Oryctolagus cuniculus: one gene and its partners. The protein of the gene in region 3 interacts with the protein of the main gene of each other region in a pairwise test. Links are inferred from orthologs where the notes say so. Each region holds a gene or a part of one and is shown on either strand. Other genes may lie near its edges.

What was found. The genes of interacting proteins can lie anywhere in the genome.
Region 1: the proteins of TXLNB (region 3) and CEP57L1 interact in binary tests that used the Homo sapiens proteins (3 or more experiments, as listed by UniProt). The two-hybrid records come from large-scale screens. The link is inferred for Oryctolagus cuniculus from reciprocal best matches to the Homo sapiens genes TXLNB and CEP57L1.
Region 2: the proteins of TXLNB (region 3) and LURAP1 interact in binary tests that used the Homo sapiens proteins (3 or more experiments, as listed by UniProt). The two-hybrid records come from large-scale screens. The link is inferred for Oryctolagus cuniculus from reciprocal best matches to the Homo sapiens genes TXLNB and LURAP1.

What each region holds. Positions count from the first base shown.
Region 1 is NC_091436.1:62,275,007-62,281,395, reverse strand, and holds part of CEP57L1 (centrosomal protein CEP57L1), read left to right. Parts: intron 1-2,013; coding exon 2,014-2,193; intron 2,194-4,086; exon of another isoform or gene 4,087-4,178; intron 4,179-4,464; coding exon 4,465-4,586; intron 4,587-6,389. UniProt on the Homo sapiens protein: Centrosomal protein which may be required for microtubule attachment to centrosomes.
Region 2 is NC_091438.1:126,539,677-126,546,065, reverse strand, and holds part of LURAP1 (leucine rich adaptor protein 1), read left to right. Parts: intron 1-4,008; coding exon 4,009-4,530; 3' UTR 4,531-6,389. UniProt on the Homo sapiens protein: Acts as an activator of the canonical NF-kappa-B pathway and drive the production of pro-inflammatory cytokines. Promotes the antigen (Ag)-presenting and priming function of dendritic cells via the canonical NF-kappa-B pathway.
Region 3 is NC_091436.1:29,577,903-29,584,291, forward strand, and holds part of TXLNB (beta-taxilin), read left to right. Parts: intron 1-2,129; coding exon 2,130-2,324; intron 2,325-4,059; coding exon 4,060-4,179; intron 4,180-6,389. UniProt on the Homo sapiens protein: Promotes motor nerve regeneration. May be involved in intracellular vesicle traffic.

The DNA of each region.
Region 1 (6,389 bases), about 33 Mb from region 3:
TCTTCATGTCACTTCTGTTGCTAAGTTTCTATGAACTTAGACAAGTCAATATTTTTAATTTTAACTTCTTTAGCTATGAAGATTAAGATAACCAGTTGGGTACATGTCACAGGTTTATCATAAAAACATCATTACAAAACATGAAAATACTCTGGAGAATGAAAGATCAGATTTGGAATCATTCTGAACTAGTTGATTAGAATGCTAGGGAATTAAATGAAATTGTGTCTTACTCAAAGATTAGGTTCAGAAATTGCATATATCCAAATTATCTGTGAAAATCCTTTAGGAAGCCAGTATATCCAAGTAACTACAAAATACTAATATTGTGACTTTAAATATGCACTTAGGAGAATCTTAAAATGGGATCAGGAAAATATTTATGGCTCTAGGCATAACTTAATACCATACAGAATACTTTCATAAACACTAATTTTTTCCTTATTTTTAATATGCTATAATAATGGTTATCATCTAGCTTTGTGGAATAAGCCACAAGAAATAATAGTCCAATTAATGAGCCAGCTACAGAATCTGTGTGAAAAGCAATAAATATGATCTTTATCTCATTTGTAAAAATCAAATGATAAATGTCTAGCAAACTTCTTTCTATTTGGATAACAACTATATGAAAGTTAATTTATAATATTTACATTCCATTCATCGCTAGTTTTATAGTTTGAACTTATAACTGAATAGAAAGTGTAAAATAGTATCTGAAAATAATTTCTTTATTTCTTTTTATTTATTTATTTTGACAGGCAGAGTTAGGGAGAGAAAGAGAGACAGAGAGAAAGGTCTTCCTTCCGTTGGTTCACCCCCCAAATGGCTGCTATGGCCAGCGCACCGCGCCGATCCAAAGCCAGGAGCCAGGTGCTTCCTCCCGGTCTCCCATGCAGGTGTAGGGCCTAAGCACTTGGGCCATCCTCCACTGCACTCCTGGGCCACAGCAGAGAGCTGGCCTGGAAGAGGAGCAACCGGGACAGTATCCGGCGCCCCAACTGAGACTAGAACCCGGGGTGCCGGCGCTGCAGGCAGAAGATTAGCCTAGTGAGCCACGGTGCCAGCCCTGAAAATAATTTCTTAAAAAGATTGATTTATTTATTTGAAAGGCAGAGAGAGAGAGTGAGAGATCTTGCATCTGCTGGTTCACTTTCCAAATGGCTGCAGTGGCTGGAGCTGGGCCAGCAAAAGCCAGGAGCCAGGAGCTTCTTCCAGGTCTCCTGTGTGGGTGCAGGAGCCCAAGCACTTGGGTCGTCCTCCGCTGCTTTCCCAGGCCCATTAATGGAGCTGGATCAGAAATGGAGCATCCAAGACTCACTTGAACCAGGGTCCATATGGGATGCTGGTGTCGCAGGCAGCAACCCAAACTGCTATGCCACAATGTGGCCCCGTGTATTTGAAGATTTTTAACTTTGGACTTAGCTGAGTCAGGAAGATATTATTAGTAAATTGAGTAAAAATCACAGTAGCACATGTATGTTACTGGCATCATAAAACCATTACATTTTAATCATTTTTCTAATGAAAGAAACTGATCTTATCTGTCTATATTTTTATCACAATTTCTTGGACAATTTAATATATGGTTGTACTTTGACTAAAAATGAGCACAAGAACTGAAAAAAACCTTTAGCTTTGAACCAAATTGCCATGTTAACTAGTGGATTGTACGTTTTAATTTTCTTCATCTGTACTCAGACTCCTCTGCCTCCTAGATCAGGCATTATCTTACATTTAAGAAATATTTATCTTCTTCAATTGTGTTCATTCGCTATCTCCATCCTAGAAATGACTAAATACAGTCATGCACATATTTATTAACAAGATATGTTGGAGAAAATTTGTTCCTCTTTAGAATTTTAGTCCTTATTCTCCATTATTTTGACAAATATTTGTTACTTGAATAATTTTTGACTCACTAACAAAATGTATTGCTCTTTTTTTATGTTACTGTAATTGTAAATGTTCAAAAGTTTTCACTCAAAGCATCAAACAATTTTTTTTCAACAGCTCTTATTTTAGCCTTAAGAACTCTTCAGGAAAAGATCCATCGTTTAGAGCTCGAGAGAACACAAGCTGAAGATAACCTGAACATTCTTTCCAGAGAAGCGGCACAGTATAAAAAGGCCTTGCAGAATGAAACAAATGAAAGAAATCTGGCACACCAGGAACTGATAAAGCAGAAAAAAGGTAAAAGCACGCAAACAAAAACAGTAGTTCTTAGAAATGAGGGGTTACCATAGTTTACAATTTGAAACAATGAATTTCAGTAGATTTACTCAAATACCTTTGTTCTAATAGACATTCAGACCTTGTTCTCAGATGTTTCTTTATTTGCAGAAAATGAATGTAACTTTGAATTTACTGCTATTATACCTATTATCTTAGTTTATAAATTCTTCAGACTAAAAGAAAAATTAAATTTTAGACATTGTATATAGAAATTAAAATATTTTCAGAATAACCAACAAAATCCAATTTAACCCATAATATAATTGAGATGCTTTACATTTTTGTTAATACTGATTTTCAAAATTTGAAATATAAAGTGACACTAGAAATTAAATGACATAAGAAACAAAGTGATTCAAAAATAATTTATCTACTTTGAAAGGAAAACAAGGTTAATTAGAGGAAATAGGTAGGTTGTGGCATCTGTGGAAATTAGGAAGCGACATCTGGACACAAGTTTTAGAAATGTGGAGGGCATGGCCGGCGCTGTGGCTCACTAGGCTAATCCTCCGCCTGTGGCGCCGGCACCCCAGGTTCTAGTCCTGGTTGGGGCACTGGATTCTGTCCCGGTTGCCCCTCTTCCAGGCCAGCTCTCTGCTGTGGCCCGGGAGTGCAGTGGAGGATGGCCCAAGTGCTTGGGCCCTGCATCCCATGGGAGACCAGGAGAAGCACCTCGCTCCTGGCTGCGGATCAGCGCGGATCAGCGCGGTGCGCCACAACGGCCGTTGGAGGGTGGAACAACAGTAAAGGAAGAAAGACCTTTCTCTCTGTCTCTCTCTCTCACTGTCCACTCTGCCTGTCAAAAATAAATAAATAAATAAATAAAAATTAAAAAAAAAAAGAAATATGGAGGGTATGCTCTCTATAGAATTTTACTTCAACACTTGGGACTTTTTCTTTTCTTGTAACATATAAACTTATAAATAAGTCTTGAATTTGTGTTTCAGCTTATAAGTAGAATAAAAGATGGGGAGAAAAAAATTCTGAGATAATTGGATGAAATTAGAGCTGAGGGAAGTAAAATGTTAAAGGATTAGAAAAATGTTGTTTAGGGGCCGGCGCTGTGGTGCAGCAGGTTAACGCCCTGGCCTGCAGTGCTAATATCCCATAGGCTCCGGTTCGAGACTCGGCTGCTCCACTTCCTTTCCAACTCTCTGTTGTAGCCTGGGAAAGCAATAGAAGATAGCCCAAATCCTTGGGCCCCTGCACCCACGTGGGAGACCCAGAGGAGGCTTCTGGCTCCTGGCTTCATATCTGTGCAGCTGTGGCCATTGCGGCCAATTGGGGAGTGAACCAGTGGATGGAAGACCTACCTCTCTCTCTCTCTCTCTCTCTCTCTCTCTCTCTTCCTCTCCTCTCTTTGTATAACTCTGATTTCAAATAAATACATAAATCTTTAAAAAAAAGAAAGAAAAACATTGTTTATCTCTGTGAAGGTAACCTGCTGTCAGTAGTCAAAAGCAAAGGAAAATGGGAATAATGGAATTGCATATTCCTGAGTTTCCTGGAAGAGAAGAAATGTATTGATAGGTAAGAGACTTGATAAAATAGGTTTCAAAATTGTTTTGTACCCAAATAAGCTCGTCTTTTAATTCTGTTTTCCATGACTTCTTCAAGTACCCTCATAAACCTTGTTATTTCCCAGAACATCTTGCAAGTCACTGTCATCCTCCTCTTTCAGAAATATGCCCTCTGGGTTTTGAGGGAAGGCAAAGTTAAATCAGTAACAGATAGTTAATGAGATACAGCATGAGGGCCAGCGCTGTGGCTCAGTAGGTTAATCTTCTGCCTGCAGCGCTGGCATCCATGTAGGCACCGGTTCTAGTTCTGGCTGTTCCTCTTCCAATCTAGCTCTCTGCTATGGCCTGGGAAAGTAGAAGATGGCCTAGACACTTGGGCTCCTGCACCCAGACCTGGAAGAAGCTCCTGGCTCCTGGCTTCAGGTCAGCTCAGCTCCGGCTGTTGCAGCCATTTGGGGAGTGAACCAGCAGGTGGAAAACCTTTCTCCCTGTCTCTCCCTCTCACTGTCTGTAACTCTGTCTCTCAAATAAATAAATAAAATCTTAAAAAAAGAAAGATACAGCATGTATATTCATAACTCTCAAGAGTCAGTACTGACAGCTAAAAGAAGCCTTGAACTTTCTGTTCTTGATTAAATTACCTAATGCGTTTCTCATGATAACCAGATATGTGATAATCAACTGACTCATTATTTTTTCTTGTTCATAGATATAAGTATACAGTTAAGCTCAGCACAGTCTCGTTGTACACTTCTCGAAAAGCAACTGGAATATACAAAGAGAATGGTTCTCAATGTAGAGCGGGAAAAGAATATGATCCTAGAACAACAGGTGAGCATGCTTTCTATAAGGAATGATAATGTAATTTAATATGTTTTTTGAAAAAACATCATGGGAAAATTGTCATAACCTTAAGTAAAGTAGTATATAGATGTCCACTTACAGTATTGGCAGAATAGATCATTTGGACCATTTTATTCTGCAGAATAAAATAAGAAAAAAAGTAGATAAGGCCAGCCTCGTGATGCTTGGGATGCCTGCATCCCATATTGGTGTGCCAGTTGGAGTCACGGATAGTCCACTTCTGAGCCAACCTCCTGCTAATATGCCTAGGAAGCAGCAGGTGATAAGTCAAGTATCTGAGCCCCTGCCACCCGCATGGGAGACCCAAATGAACTTTCTGGTTCCTGTGTTTGGTCTGGCCCAGCCCTGGCTGTTGCAGCTATTCAGGGAGTGAACTAGCAATGGAAGTTTTCTCTGTCACTCTGTCTTTCAAATAAATAAATATTTACAGGAAAGACTAGGTAGAATATTAAAAAAAAAAAAGAGAGAGAGAGAGAGATACACAAATGCATTAGAGAACTAGTAAGACACTAAAAATCACCAGTTGAAATCCATGTGTAGACTTAAATCCAGGGAATTCAGACTCCTTTCTTCTGAGGGCATTTTGGATTCCAGAAAAGATAGTTTGGAGACTATGCCTTTGACAGCCACCCTTCTGGAGCTAAGGCAATCAAAGTTAGGGTTCAAGGCCTACCAAGAGTAGAGGGGCCAGCGCTGTGACGTCGTGGGTTAAGCTGCCACCTGCAGTGCCAGTATCCCAAATGGGTACCGGTTCAAGTTCCAGCTGCTCCACTTCTGATCCAGCTCCTTGCTATGGCCTAGAGAAGCAGTAGAAGATGGCCCAAGTGCTTGGGCCCCTGCCCATGTAGGAGACCTGGAGGAGGCTTTTGGCTCCTGGCTTTGGCCTGGCCGAGCCCTGCCATTGTGAACATTTGGGGAGTGAACTAGCAGATAAAAGATCTCTCTCTCTCTCTCTCTCTCTCTCTCTCTCTCTGTAATTCTGACTTATAAATAAATAAATCTTATAAAGAAAGAAGGAAGGAAGGAATGAAAGGAGGAAGGGAGGAAGGAAACCAGATTACAACTCTGCTCCAGCATGTCTAGGTGGCCTGAAATTGGCCTGAAATATTCCTGAAGTACTAATATCCCCAGGGTCCCCAAATTATTTCTACAAATATTTCTTCTTCACTGCAGTGAGCAACTTTCAATCAAAGATGACCAGGCATAAGAAAGTAAGACCCTGTAAACAAGAAATAGCATATAAAACAGACTATATGGACATTCTCACAGCTACGTACTAGTTTGAATAGACTGATTTTAAAATCATTATGCTTGCTGTGATTAAGAATATTTTTAAAGGGTTGAAAATTTCAGCAGAGGAGCCTCTGTTGTGTGCAGTGAGCTGATAAACTACCATCTACAATACCCAGCATCCCATACAGAAGCGCTGGTTCAATCCTAGCTACTCTGCTTCCAATCCAAGTCCCTGCCAGTGCTTCTAAGAAAGCAGTGGAAGATAGCCCAAGTGCTTGCGCCACTACCACTAACATGGGAGACCTGAATGGAGTGCTGGGCTCCTCGCTTCAGCCTGACCTGTCCTGGCAGTTGTAGCCATGTGAAGCATGGGCCAGAGGATGAACGTTCCCTCTGTGCTCCCTCCCCCGCTTCCCCTCCCTATGTCCCTCTCTCCCTTCCTTGCTTTCTCCTCCTCTCCCACTCTCATCTCTCCATCTTTGAAGTAATAAATAAATCTTTAAAAAAATTTTCAACAAGCATTGGAAACCATAAAAT
Region 2 (6,389 bases), on a different chromosome or scaffold from region 3:
ACCAGAACAGCATTACACACTGAAAATCAGAAGATAATGGAACAGTGCCTTACACGCTGAGGGAGGCAACTTTCTACATCTAGCCAGACTAATAACACTGTGAAGAGATTATCTATCTACTTTAAGATTTATTTATTTATTTGAACAGTTACACAGAGAGAGAAGGAGAGGCAGAGAGAGAGAGAGAGGTCTTCCACCCACTGGTTCACTCCCAAATGGCTGCACCAGCTGAAGCTGTGCTGATCCAAAACCAGGAGCCAGGAGCTTCTTCCGGATCTCCCACGTGGGTGCAGGGGCCCAAGGCTTTGGGCCATCTTCTACTGCTTTCCCAGGCCATAGCAGAGAGCCAGATCGGAAATGAAGCAGCCAGGACTCGAACCAGTGCCAATATGGGATGCCAGCACTGCAGGCGGCGGCTTTACCCACTACACCACAGTGCCGGCCCTGAGAATAATATTTTAAAAAGTGCAAACCTTCTGCAGATTTACCTCCTGTGCAGACTTTCTCGGGATGCTATTGGAGGGAGAGCACCACTCACTCCATGAAAGAGCAAATCAAGAAAGATACGGGGTCGGCGCCGCAGCTCACTAGGCTAATCCTCTGCTTTCGGCTCCGGCACCCGGGGTTCTAGTCCCGGTCGGGGCACCGGATTCTGTCCCGGTTGCCCCTCTTCCAGGCCAGCTCTCTGCTGTGGCCAGGGAGTGCAGTGGAGGATGGCCCAAGTACTTGGGCCCTGCACCCCATGGGAGACCAGGAGAAGTACATGGCTCCTGCCATCAGATCAGCGCGGTGCGCTGGATGCAGCGCGCCGGCCACAGTGGCCATTGGAGGGTGAACCAACGGCAAAGGAAGACCTTTCTCTCTGTCTCTCTCTCTCACTGTGCACTCTGCCTGTCAAAAAAAAAAAAAAAAAAAAAAAAAAAAAAAAAAGATACGGGCTCTAAGAAACAAGGCGTGCCTCTGAGGAGAGGCCCTGATGGAGCCGTGAAGTGTTTGAGAGGCTTGAGAGGGGAATTCAGACAAGGGGCGGGACATTTGAGGATGATGTACTGAGAACCTCATAGCAAACTAGCTGAAATAACAAAGGCTGTGCTGTGGAGAATGTAAAATCCTAAGACATTTTAGAAGTCACTCTGGAAACTATATAGGCTTAGCTGTGAATATCCTAATAAGGCAAACACTGAATAATTTTATTATTGCTTGGTGGGAGGAGGGGGAGATGGGGTGATGGGAAGGATTTCTGTACAGAAGTGGAGTAAGGAGGGGATGAAAGTTAAACCCTTAACCTCTGTAGTGTGGGAAATCAACAGAAAATGCCCAAGCTTAAGAATCAAGAAGTAGGGATGTAAGCATGCTATTTGGAGCTGAGGAGGTAGGAACCAGTCAACGACTAGAAAATTAACAGCAGTCTCTAGAAAGTGGGGTGGAGGAACTATCACTGTTGACAACAAAACCCGTGGAGCCGTTCGCCTCTTGATGTGCACCTGTGATGTAATGCGGCAGGGTCTTAGGGTCACAGGGCAGGCACCGTCGTGAAGAAGTTGGGGTGCCAGCTGTGGAGGTGTTCCGCTTTCACTCTCCCGGAGCGGGCGAGGATCCCGGTGCTCCCGTACTTAGGAATCAGAGCGCCGCGAAGCCCCTGATGCTGCCAAGCAGCCGCGGAGGCACAGGTTCAGACCTGTGCCCCTGAGCTGCGAGGGACCCCCGGGGATGACCCACAAAGGCAGACTCACTTCCAGGGCAGACAGGGAGGCTGTGCGTGGCGGAGGGAGGTCCTGGAGCCCCAGCCACTGGGGGGCGGGGTGGGGGGGCAAGCCTGCCCTCCTCCAGGACCTGCTAGTGATTTCCTGGAGAGCACAGGGAAGCAGGTTAGTCCCCTCTGTTCCCCAGCCCTCGTCTTCCCGGTTCACTCTCAGGTTGGACTAGTCTTGGGCCCTATGGACATCTTACTGGCGAATCTGGACCAGTTTGATAGTTAATACCCTAAACGTGAAGATCAGAGTTCAGTGGGATGGGATTTTAATACTTAACTTTTTTTAAAGTTTTTTTTTTTTTTTTTTTTTTTTTTTTTTTTTTTTTTTTTTTTTAAGATTTATTTATCTGAAAGGCAGGGTGACAGAGAGAGAAAGGGAGAGACAGAGAGTGAGATCTTACATCTACTGGTTCACTCCCCAAATGGCCATAATGGCTGGGCCTGAGCCAGATCAAAGCCAGGAGCCTGCAACTCCATCTGGGTTTCCCATGTTCTGCTGCTTTCCCAGGAGCATTAGCAGGAAGCTGGATCAGAGGCGGAGGAGCCGGGACTCGAACCACCATTCATATGGGATGCCAGAATGGCAGGCAGCAGCTTAACCTGCTGCTGCACAACGCCAAAGGCCCCAATACTTAACATGTTCTGAGACTTTTCTTTGTGTTAGGCACTGTATTGAGTCCTTAGTAGATCTCATCTCAAAATCCTTACAGCCACTTGTGAAAAGAGTGATTTAGCCCTGTTTTACAAGCACGGAAACTGAAGCGCAAAGATAAAAAAAAAAGAATCCCCAGTTTTAAGCAGGTCATATAGCTAATCTGTGGCAGAGCTGAAAAACCTTTACAACTTTTTTCTAAGAGAGCATGTGTATGAGTGAAAGCAGGCTCCTGTCTGCTGGTTCACTACCCCCATGCCCGCAAAGGCCCAGCCACAGCCCGGAACTGGGAACTTAACCTAGGTCTCCCATGTGAGTGGCAGGGACACAACTACTCAAACATCACTGCCTCCCAGGGTCTGCATTAGCAGGAAGCTGGAGTCAGGAGCCAGACCTGGGTGTTGAACCCAGGCATTCCAATGTGGGGCATGGGCATCTTAAGTGCTTTTTTTTTTTTCCCCAAGATTTATTTATTTGCTTGAAAGGCAGAGTTACAGAGAGGCAGAGAAATAGAGAAGTCTTCCATCTGTTGGTTCACTCCCCAGTTGGTGCAATGGCCAGAGCTGAGCTGATCCAAAGCCAGGAGCCTGGAGCTTCATCTGGGTCTGCCACGTGGATGCAGGGGCCCAAGAACTTGGGCCATCTTCTGCTAATTTCCCAGGCCATAGCAGAGAGCTGGATTGGAAGTGCAGGCGGCAGCTTTACCCGCTACACCACAGCACCGGCCCCTTAAGTGGTGTTTTAACCACGAGGCTAAACACCCACCCTGAGAGCTAATTTTTTTTTTTTTTTTTAAGATTTATTGTTTTAAAAGTCAGAGTCAGAATGACAGAGAAAGAGGTCCTCTGTCCACTGGTTCATTCCTCAAATGCTCACAGCTCAGACCAAAGCCAGGAGCCAAGAACTCCACCCACATATCCCATATGGGTGTCAAGAAACCAAGTACTTGGCCATCATCCGTTGTCTCCCAGGTACATTAGCAGAAAGCTGGATCAGAAGCAAGGAGTAGCCAGGACTGAAACCATGTACTCTGATAGAGGATGCGGGTGTCCCGAGCAGCAGCATAATTCATTTTGACAGCTGGAATTCCAAGCAGCAGTTTGGCTGCCTCTGAAACCCACGCCCCAAACCATTCTATCTCAAGGCTTCTTAAAAGTGAAGCACAGGCTGGCGCCGCGGCTCACTAGGCTAATCCTCCGCCTAGCGGCGCCAGCACACCGGGTTCTAGTCCCGGTCGGGGCGCCGGATTCTGTCCCAGTTGCCCCTCTTCCAGGCCAGCCCTCTGCTGTGGCCAGGGAGTGCAGTGGAGGATGGCCCAGGTACTTGGGCCCTGCACCCCATGGGAGACCGGGAAAAGCACCTGGCTCCTGGCTCCTGCCATCGGATCAGCGCGGTGCACTGGCCGCGGCGGCCATTGGAGGGTGAACCAACGGCAAAAGGAAGACCTTTCTCTCTGTCTCTCTCTCTCACTGTCCACTCTGCCTGTCAAAAAAAAAAAAAAAAAAAAAAAGTGAAGCACAGTTCGTGGAGTAGGCCTCTTAGACATGCTGCGGAACCCCTTGGCCCCAAATCCAGAACTAACTCCTTCTCCCACTCCCTCCAGGCTTACCTGCGAGCCGTGGACGTGAAGATCCTGCAGCAGCTGGTGACCTTGAATGAGGGCATCGAGGCAGTGCGCTGGCTGTTGGAGGAGCGGGGGACATTGACCAGCCATTGCAGCAGCCTCACCAGCAGCCAATACAGCCTGACGGGCGGGAGCCCAGGCCGCTCTAGGCGAGGCAGCTGGGACAGCCTGCCGGACGCCAGTTCGGCTGACCGCCTGGATAGCGTCTCTATTGGCAGCTTCCTGGACACCGTGGCCCCCAGCGAGCTGGATGAGCAGGGCCCACCTGGCGCTCCCCACCCGGAGACCAACTGGGCAAAGGCTCTGCCCAGTGGGGAGAGGGCCAGGACGGAGGCGGAGCTGACAGCCAGCAGGCTAGGGAGCTTGAGATCCGTGTGGAAGCCCCCAGGGGAGGGGCTGCAAGGCGGAACTCCTGAGTCCCCAGAGGAGGAGAGCGCTCAGCTGGGCTTTGAGAGTCACTGGTACTGGGGGCAGTGCCAGGATGATGTGACCTTCTTGTAATGACTTTCCCACTCCTTTGTATTCCTGTTGCTCTTTTACCCCTCGGCCCGGTCTCTTGCAAAATTTACTCTCCCCCAATCTGGGACTAGGAAGAGGCTGCATGGACATCACTATGGAAACCTAGCTCACCAGCCCTCTGGTCCCTAGGGAGCCTCTGCCTTCATCTCTCAATTACTCGGTCCCTAGAGCTATTTCTATAGAGACGTTGACTCTGGAGGCCTGGCCCGGAATTCTGGTGTGATGGTGCCTTCCCTCTCTACCCCTGACTTGGTAAGGGCTTAAGGAATTTAGGAGACCACTGATGAAGAGACAGAGGTGTAATTACCTTATCCACAGTCTAGAAGCCTGGGCCCCTGCCTCATGGCCAAAAGATTGAAGAGGAACCTGGACTTTCAGGGCCAACCCTCCATGGCTTGGCCCTCCCAGAAGCCTTTAGGCTGGTAGCCCCACTCTTTCCTACCTGCTGAGTGATGTCATTTCCTGCCTGGATGGACTAGCCTTTCCTCTGTACCAGTCCTTGGCTGGTGATAGGTCAGTGTTTGAGCCCCTGATGTCAAGTGGGACCATAGCACTTCCTGTCCATACCATTACTTCTTGTGAGGGAGAAGTCGCAGGAAGGTTCCTCGCTGTGTACTGTTGGTGCTGCTTTTCAGAAGATTCTTATTTTTAAAACGGAGTTCTCATTTTGTCCTTGGGAGGGGTCTCACTTCCTCTGTGGCTGCACCTGCTGGATGCCTCGCTCCAGTGGTCTCTGTGCTTTTTGGGAGAGAAACTGCCAGAGGCCTTCACCTTTGGCTCTCAGTCTGTCGGGGTCCCTCCCCCACCCCCAGCCCTCCTCGTTCCCTGTCCCTGCTGGCTCCATTCCTGTCTTCCAGCTCCCTTTCTCTTTCCTCCTCAGGCCTTTTATATGGAGATGAGTCCTGACCCCCTCTCCCTACTGTTGTGGGGAGCCTAGGGGGTGTACAAGAATCTTGGGTGGGGGTGGGGTGGCAGTGTCACCCCCCCATGACTACCCTTCCCCCACCCTATCCCCAGCCTCCCACCGTTTGTCACAAGGATGCCTGCCTGAGGTTGGTACACAAGGAATCTCCTTGTCTGGACCACAATGTGGGGGTGTGGCAGGGAAAGACAGAGGCTCTTTGGTCCCTGGGCTCTGTCATGGAGGGAGGAGGGACAGGGGAAAGGCTTCTCACCCTTGTCTCTTAGAGCAAGCCCCTGACTCCTAGACCCTAGGAGGAAGCAGGGGACTGGCTCTGGGCCCGGGTTCCAGGGCTCTAGCAATAACACCAAAGAAGGCTCTCAGGAAAGCTACCAAGCTCGGGCTCAGGGACTAGATAGGGGGAGAGTGGGTCAAGGACTGTGACTCCTGTCAGAGTGAACACTTGGGAATTAACCCTTTGAACCCTGGGTAACTGCTCCAATGTTGGGCCCTGTGATTAGATCATTGGAGGGAAAAAAGGAAGGAAGATTATGCTCTCGGGCTGTTCACAGTGCCCTCTTGAGTTGGTAGAGTCTCCCCCAGATTCTGGAGTAACTTTGCTCTTTCTCCGCTTTCCACTTTGTGCTGGGGAGGGGAAGGGCAGGGAGCCAAGGTGACCATGTCTGCATACCCTAACTCCTCAAGTCTTGATTTGCGCCTCCCGCCTCGAGGCTCCTGGAGCAATACCTTTAGTAGGTGGCTGTCCCTGAGACCTCTCTCCTCCCAGCCCCTCAAAGTGTTGGAAAAACATCCTCAGCCTCTGCTGTCCACCACTCCTCACCAGCCTGGGGCTCCTGACTTCTGTTGAGGGGAGGAATTTGAATTTCCTATTCCAAATCCCTATTCTGTAGCCATTTGGTAGTGTGCCCTTAGGTAGGGG
Region 3 (6,389 bases):
CCAAGCACAACACCAGTTCTAACATGGACAATGATGCATGCAAAGTTTGTTTTCTTAGTTATTTCAGACATTGTCCCTCAATCTTCTTTTCACTATTGATTTTCATTTTGAATAATATATTTGATATAAAGAAAAGAAATTGCAAATTCTTTATCAGTGGACTCAAATTTTATAAAATTTTGCTGGGCTTATTTTTGACTCACTGGAAAACAACATAATGTAAAATGTAAGATGTCATTCTGTGAGCCAGGGTTGGGTGTAGGATAGTTTGACATGTGTTTAATGTCACCGTAATCTAGCCAGCTTCCAATGAAAAAGTCACACTTGCTAAGTAGCATGGAATAGTTTCGGCAATTGCTCATGTATTCATGGATGGAATATTTGTTAATGCCAACAGAAGTCCAGTTCATCATAGTCTCTAGTTCTATTGAGAACTTAATGACTTCTAAGCAAATCAGGGGCAAGGAGGAGGCAACAACCATCATATTGTTATTCCAGGAACCATAATCATCTTAGTGAAACTCACATATAGGGTTATTATTCAAGGCTACTTCAAAGCATTCTTTGAAAATGGAGTCAAAAGGTAAGTTTATTTTGATCAAAAAAGTTTTTGGAATTCATGCAAATGAAGGTCTTGAAAGAGTTCATGGAAAATGTGTATGATGAAACACTGTTGCACAGGTTTTAATTTTTTCTACCAAAATAAACTTATCTTTGAACTTCATTTTCACAAATGTTTTCAGGTACTCTCATACAAAGTTCAAAGAAATAAAATTTTGGAGAGTTAATTCCTTCAGATTAGGAAGTTCAGATATCTAAAATGTTCCTGAGAAGTTGTTGTTCAATAAAGATTCATAACATGAATAAATTATGGTTCTGACGTCAGGAGTCATCTTAGAGTGTGGGACTGTTAATTCTGTAGTGCAAAGAAGATAATGATAAATTATTTCCATAGAATATATTTCTAGGATCAGATTTCTTTTTGACTATGTTGTTCTATTATAATAAGAACTGCTCATATTAAAATTATTATTTCCTTAAAAAAATCATGTTACATAATTTGAATTTGGTGGAAAACTCAATGAAGTATGATTTTACTTGCTAACAATGAAGGAAGCTTTCATATTAATTAATCAGGACTGAAAGGAAGCCTAAAATGTTACACTTGTCAGCAATGTGTCTCTGTCATGGTATGATGTAACAAAATTAAACCCTTTTATTCTAAAGTGAGAGGAACAATCACAAAGCAAACAATTCTCAAAATAGATGTGGAGGGAATTTGAGCACATTTTTAGTAGCTGCAATGAATGGAGAGTTTTGATTTAAAAGAAAAAGAACAGAAATGGTATAAAACTTCCAATTCTTCAATTTTAACAAAGGAGCAGAGTAAATTAGATGTTTCATTTTTTCATTGAAGAAGATTTGAAACTTAATATTGCTTTCACAACCAAGATTTACACTGAACATTTCAATTACTACATGTGACATGTGGGATGATTATTCTTTCAGAAATAAAATATCACACATGTTTGGGAAGACTTCCTTTTATATGTTTGAATAGCTTCAATTGCTCTTTATAAATTAGTTTCCTTTTTTAAGCCTTTTGATTGAAGTTTTTTCTTACTAAGAAAGTTTATACTGTGGTCATTCATATTTGTGAAACTTGGGTAATACATTTATGTGGTTAATAAGCCACAGTTTTTACAGAGAAATATAAGATCTATTGTTCTTTTTCCTGTACCAAACCAAAAGAACACAGGATCTGGCCCATCAATCATGAAAACTGAGTGGCCTTTTTTCCAGGCCACAGCCAAGAGATCAAACCCCTGTGACTGCCTGTTTGTTAGAAATCGTGGCAGTTCATTCACTCAGCAGGAGATCTATCATTCTTAAAACAACCCTATTCAGCACCAGCTATCAGCACCTGCTCTGAGTGACTGCCTCCTCACAGCTGAAACCCTTGCTCACACATTCACTTGGGATTGAGCATGGTTAGTTCTAAAGAACTGAGAAAAAATATCCACTTACCCTACCCGCTAATCCCCTTTTCGTGTGGGCTAATCCTGGGTTCTGTAAACTCAGAGCACATTTGAACCATCATCATAAAATATTTTGTTTTTTATTCACAGGAGGAAACCCTTCAGCGAGCACGTGAGGAAGAAGAGAAAAGGAAAGAGATCACAAGTCATTTCCAGAGTACCCTGACAGACATCCAGGCTCAGATCGAGCAGCAGAGTGAGCGAAACATGAAGCTCTGTCAGGAGAACACAGAGCTGGCAGAGAAACTGAAAAGCATCATCGATCAGTACGAGCTCCGGGAGGAGGTGAGAAGCACACGCATCCACTTAGAACTCTATGGATCTGAATCTGGGGCGTGAAGGTTGCGAAGCTGGTCAATAAGAAAGTTATGGCCAATCCTCACTTCTCAACTGATTAATATTTAGGGCTGGATTTCTTTTACCCGCCAAAATAGAGAGAGATGGTACTATGGAATACCTGGCTGAAAGTCCTATGGGATTTCTTCAAAACTGGAATCACTGCTAAGCAAATGCAATAGGCTGGAGGCACAGCCACCCTTGAAAACAGCATTTCTCAGCCTCTGAAAAATCCCCTCCATAGAGCCAAAAAGTGATTCACATATACTCTCTTAGGAATCACCATGTCATCTAAATAAAGAATCCCTCATTCATTCTATATACCCCACAAGCCACTAAAACACGATCAATAATGTCATAATTATAGTGTCACTTACTCTGTGCTTCCGTCATGTCAGACAATGTGCTAAATACCACCTTTTACATATAATATGTCACTGAACTGTCTCAACAATCCCATGCACTAGACAATAATATACTATCCACATTTTGTAGATTGGAAGCAGAAGCTGTGACATTAAATCACCATCCCACAGTCACAAAAGCCAGAGACTTGTGCTTTCGATACTCTAACATTAGGAGCATGATAGGGTCTCCTGTGATCCCAAAGTTATATTTTAATATTGAATATTTTTAAGATTCCAGATAACCTCTCAGGATTTTGAATATATTACATTCCTCTCCCTACCCCACCCAGATTTTACTTACCTGCCTTAAAATATAACATAACATAGTCAAAGCAACTCTGTTGGAAGATGCTAAGATTTTATCAAGAGAAAAACTGAGCCAATGGTGTGTGTTCACAGTAGTTAGGTAACTCAACTCACAGTATGCCAACTCACTCCTCAACTCCTCACAGTAAGCAATGCTACCATTTCATCTGGTCACAGGGATCAACCCCACTCCAGAAAGGAGGCTCAGGCTAAATAAGAAGCAAAAGGAAAATGCCCATGCTCTTCAGAGAAATTTTGGACGGGAATGGCCTGGTATACAGGTTATAAATTCCTCTAGGATTGTTCTGGCTAAGTCCCAAGGACAGAATTCTACCTGCCCTCTTTCTGATGACAAAATTGGGCTTAATGATAGAAACTTTTTATATTAAGGTAGGGTGGGAGCTTCTCTTTGCCTGGTTAAGTCCAGAGGTCAAAAGGTGTGGAAGACTCTGCACACTTGTATATCAATTCATCCCACTGGCTTTGCCATCCCCACCAGAGCAACACAGAATTTAGGAGGTGGGGGGCCACACTCCTAGAACCATTGGCTGGCACCCCAAGGCTTTCTCACAACCCTTGAAGCAAGAATGTGAATTCAACATGATAAACTGCATAAATATTATGATCAAAAGTGGATTTATATTCATAGAAAGAGCCAAATGCTATAGTCTTTGAAGTATAAATCATTGTGTGTGCTGTAGCTAAATAAATAAATAAAGACCATATCTACTCATTACCAAATTTTTAAAAATGCTGTTGAACTCTAACTTTTGCAGCTACCTTTGTTTACTGTGAAGGGTTAGGGACTTCACCAATTGATGTCTTTAATGTAAAGTGATAGCCATGCGATTTCCCCTTTTAAAAAAATCTTAAAATCTGGAGAATGGAAGTTTATGTTACTTTTTTTAATTTAAAATGTCTAAGCCTCAACAGTAAACCAAGTTTCATGCGTATACTTTATTTTTCCTTAGCATCTGGACAAGATATTTAAACACAGAGAACTGCAGCAGAAGCTGGTGGATGCAAAACTTGAACAGGCACAAGAAATGATGAAGGATGCGGAGGAGCGACACAAGCGGGAAAAGGAATATGTACTTATCATTCCAGTAGGATGCACATCTGGCCTACCTCAGCATCAGACACTCCCTGGGGAAGCTGTTTTGATAATGGTCAAAGGGCACTAGACTGAGAGAGAAAAGGCTGGAGATTCTATGAGAACTAAATTGGCCAGCCTAGCACTAGGGATGGTACCCATGTGACTTTTTACACAAAATGGGCAATCATCCATTTAACAAATATGTCTATGTGTCTTTAATCTGATAAGCACCACAGTGGGTGCTAGGAAATAGTTGTGAACAAGACAGAGATGGGCCATCTCCCACCACGGAAGAGATAGGCAACACACAAGCAAAGAAGGAAGGGTGACTGTAGATTTAAAATGTGCTACTAGACTGAGAAGGAGCCAAGGAGGGGGCCTACCTAGCTGGTGACCAGGAAGGCCTCCCAGAGGGGTGGATGCTTGGGCCAAGCCTTGCTCAATGAGGAGTCATCTCTAGCACCCGTGTCTGCAGCAGTGACAAAGGTCCTGATGCTGGAACCAGCTTGGTGTGCCCCAGGAAAGAAAAGGTTAGGGAGGCAAGAGCATGTGGACCAAGTGGGAGAAGGGTTCAAAATGAAGTTGGAGAGGTAAGGAGGGGCCAGATTGTGTAGCTTCGCAGGGCTTGGAAGGTAGTTTGGATTTCATTCTAAATACAGTGGGAACATACTTGGTAGTTTTAGCAAAGAAAGTGACATGATCTGCTCTACATCTGTAAGATTACTTGGCTCCTGGGTGGGAAGTGGATTCCAGAGGGACAAGAGAGCAAGACAGTCAGGAGGCTGCTGTAGCCATCCAGATGAGATAAGAGGATGACTTAGCCAAGGGAGGCGGAGCGGATAAAAAGTGTTTTCCGTGTAAAACTAACAGGCCATGCTCTGACCTGCAGAATGGGATAGTGAGGGAAGGGTGCCTCCTGGGCTGTAGACTGAAGAAACTGAATGGTGGTGTTTACTAATATCTCACTGACCCCAAGCACCCCTACAAAGCTATGGGGCATTCCACAGAACTGAGGCTTAAAGAGGATATACAACTTTTTTTAAAGGTCACATACTGCTAAGAGACTACAATGTGTTTAAAACCCACATGTGTCTGTCCCCAAAGTCCAGGCTCTCTGTGACAGTTCATCACACTTGGAGGTATATTTCAGAGGTATGAATTGAAGCATGTATCAGTTGCTGAGAGACAGGAGAGGTTTAAGACATAGTTAATGGGCCAGTTATTCAAATTTGGCCATTTAACATTGGACCACAAGCTTTTCATTTACCTGAAATTATTTCAATTTGTTAGAATAGTAATTTTTAAATAACTTCAGTTTTCCAACTTGGCAACAAAAAGATGAATTTTGGAGACTATAACCTGGTGACACTGGATAATTTCAAATCAGTAGTCCATGTTCTTTTAAGAAAAAGATGAATTTGTTAAATCCATTAACAACCTATCTCTCAAGTAAGAAAAAAAACCACTTTATTATTAGGCAAAATCCAAGGAAATAAATTCACCCCTGTGGACCTTACCCAATTAGGTAAAATATTCTTCCTACAAAATATCAGTGCTCTAGGATATAATATGAGACATGTCAGAGAAAGAATTAGGCAAGATGCACATGAGAGATATTACAGAGCAGATTCATAGTGACTCATACTTAGCAAGAAACTAGCACACTGTCCAATTTCCCTACACTTGTTTGGCAAAACAGCAGATTGGAGTCACAGAAAAGTAGTCCCTCTCACTTCTTCAAAGCGGCCACCTATCATGCTGCAGCTCTGGCAGTTCCTTTTGGGAATGAAGACGGTCTTCACCCACACAGGACAGGCAGCCACTGTCTCCCCTGAGATCACCTGGCACAGCAGCTGCCAAGCGTGGGCCTGCTTGATGCCCACACACCCGCTGGATGGCCAGAGCGGGTAACGTAGGTCTTTGACGCCATAGCTGCCCCAGCTCTCACCTGGGACTGGTCGGATGCTCTTCTGTGATAATCAATCCTCACTATGGCTGGGAGGCAGAAGAGAACAAATATGACCTACCTTATAAATGGAAAGTTTGAGCCGCACGAAAAAGACAAACTAGGATATGGGACAAAAATGCCTCTGAGCTTTTAAAATCCATGATTTCTTTGTTGTTGTTACTGTTGTTTTGTCCTGTCTACAAAGGACATAAATAGATTTCATGGACTTTTTTTAACCATAGGGATACACAGAAGAA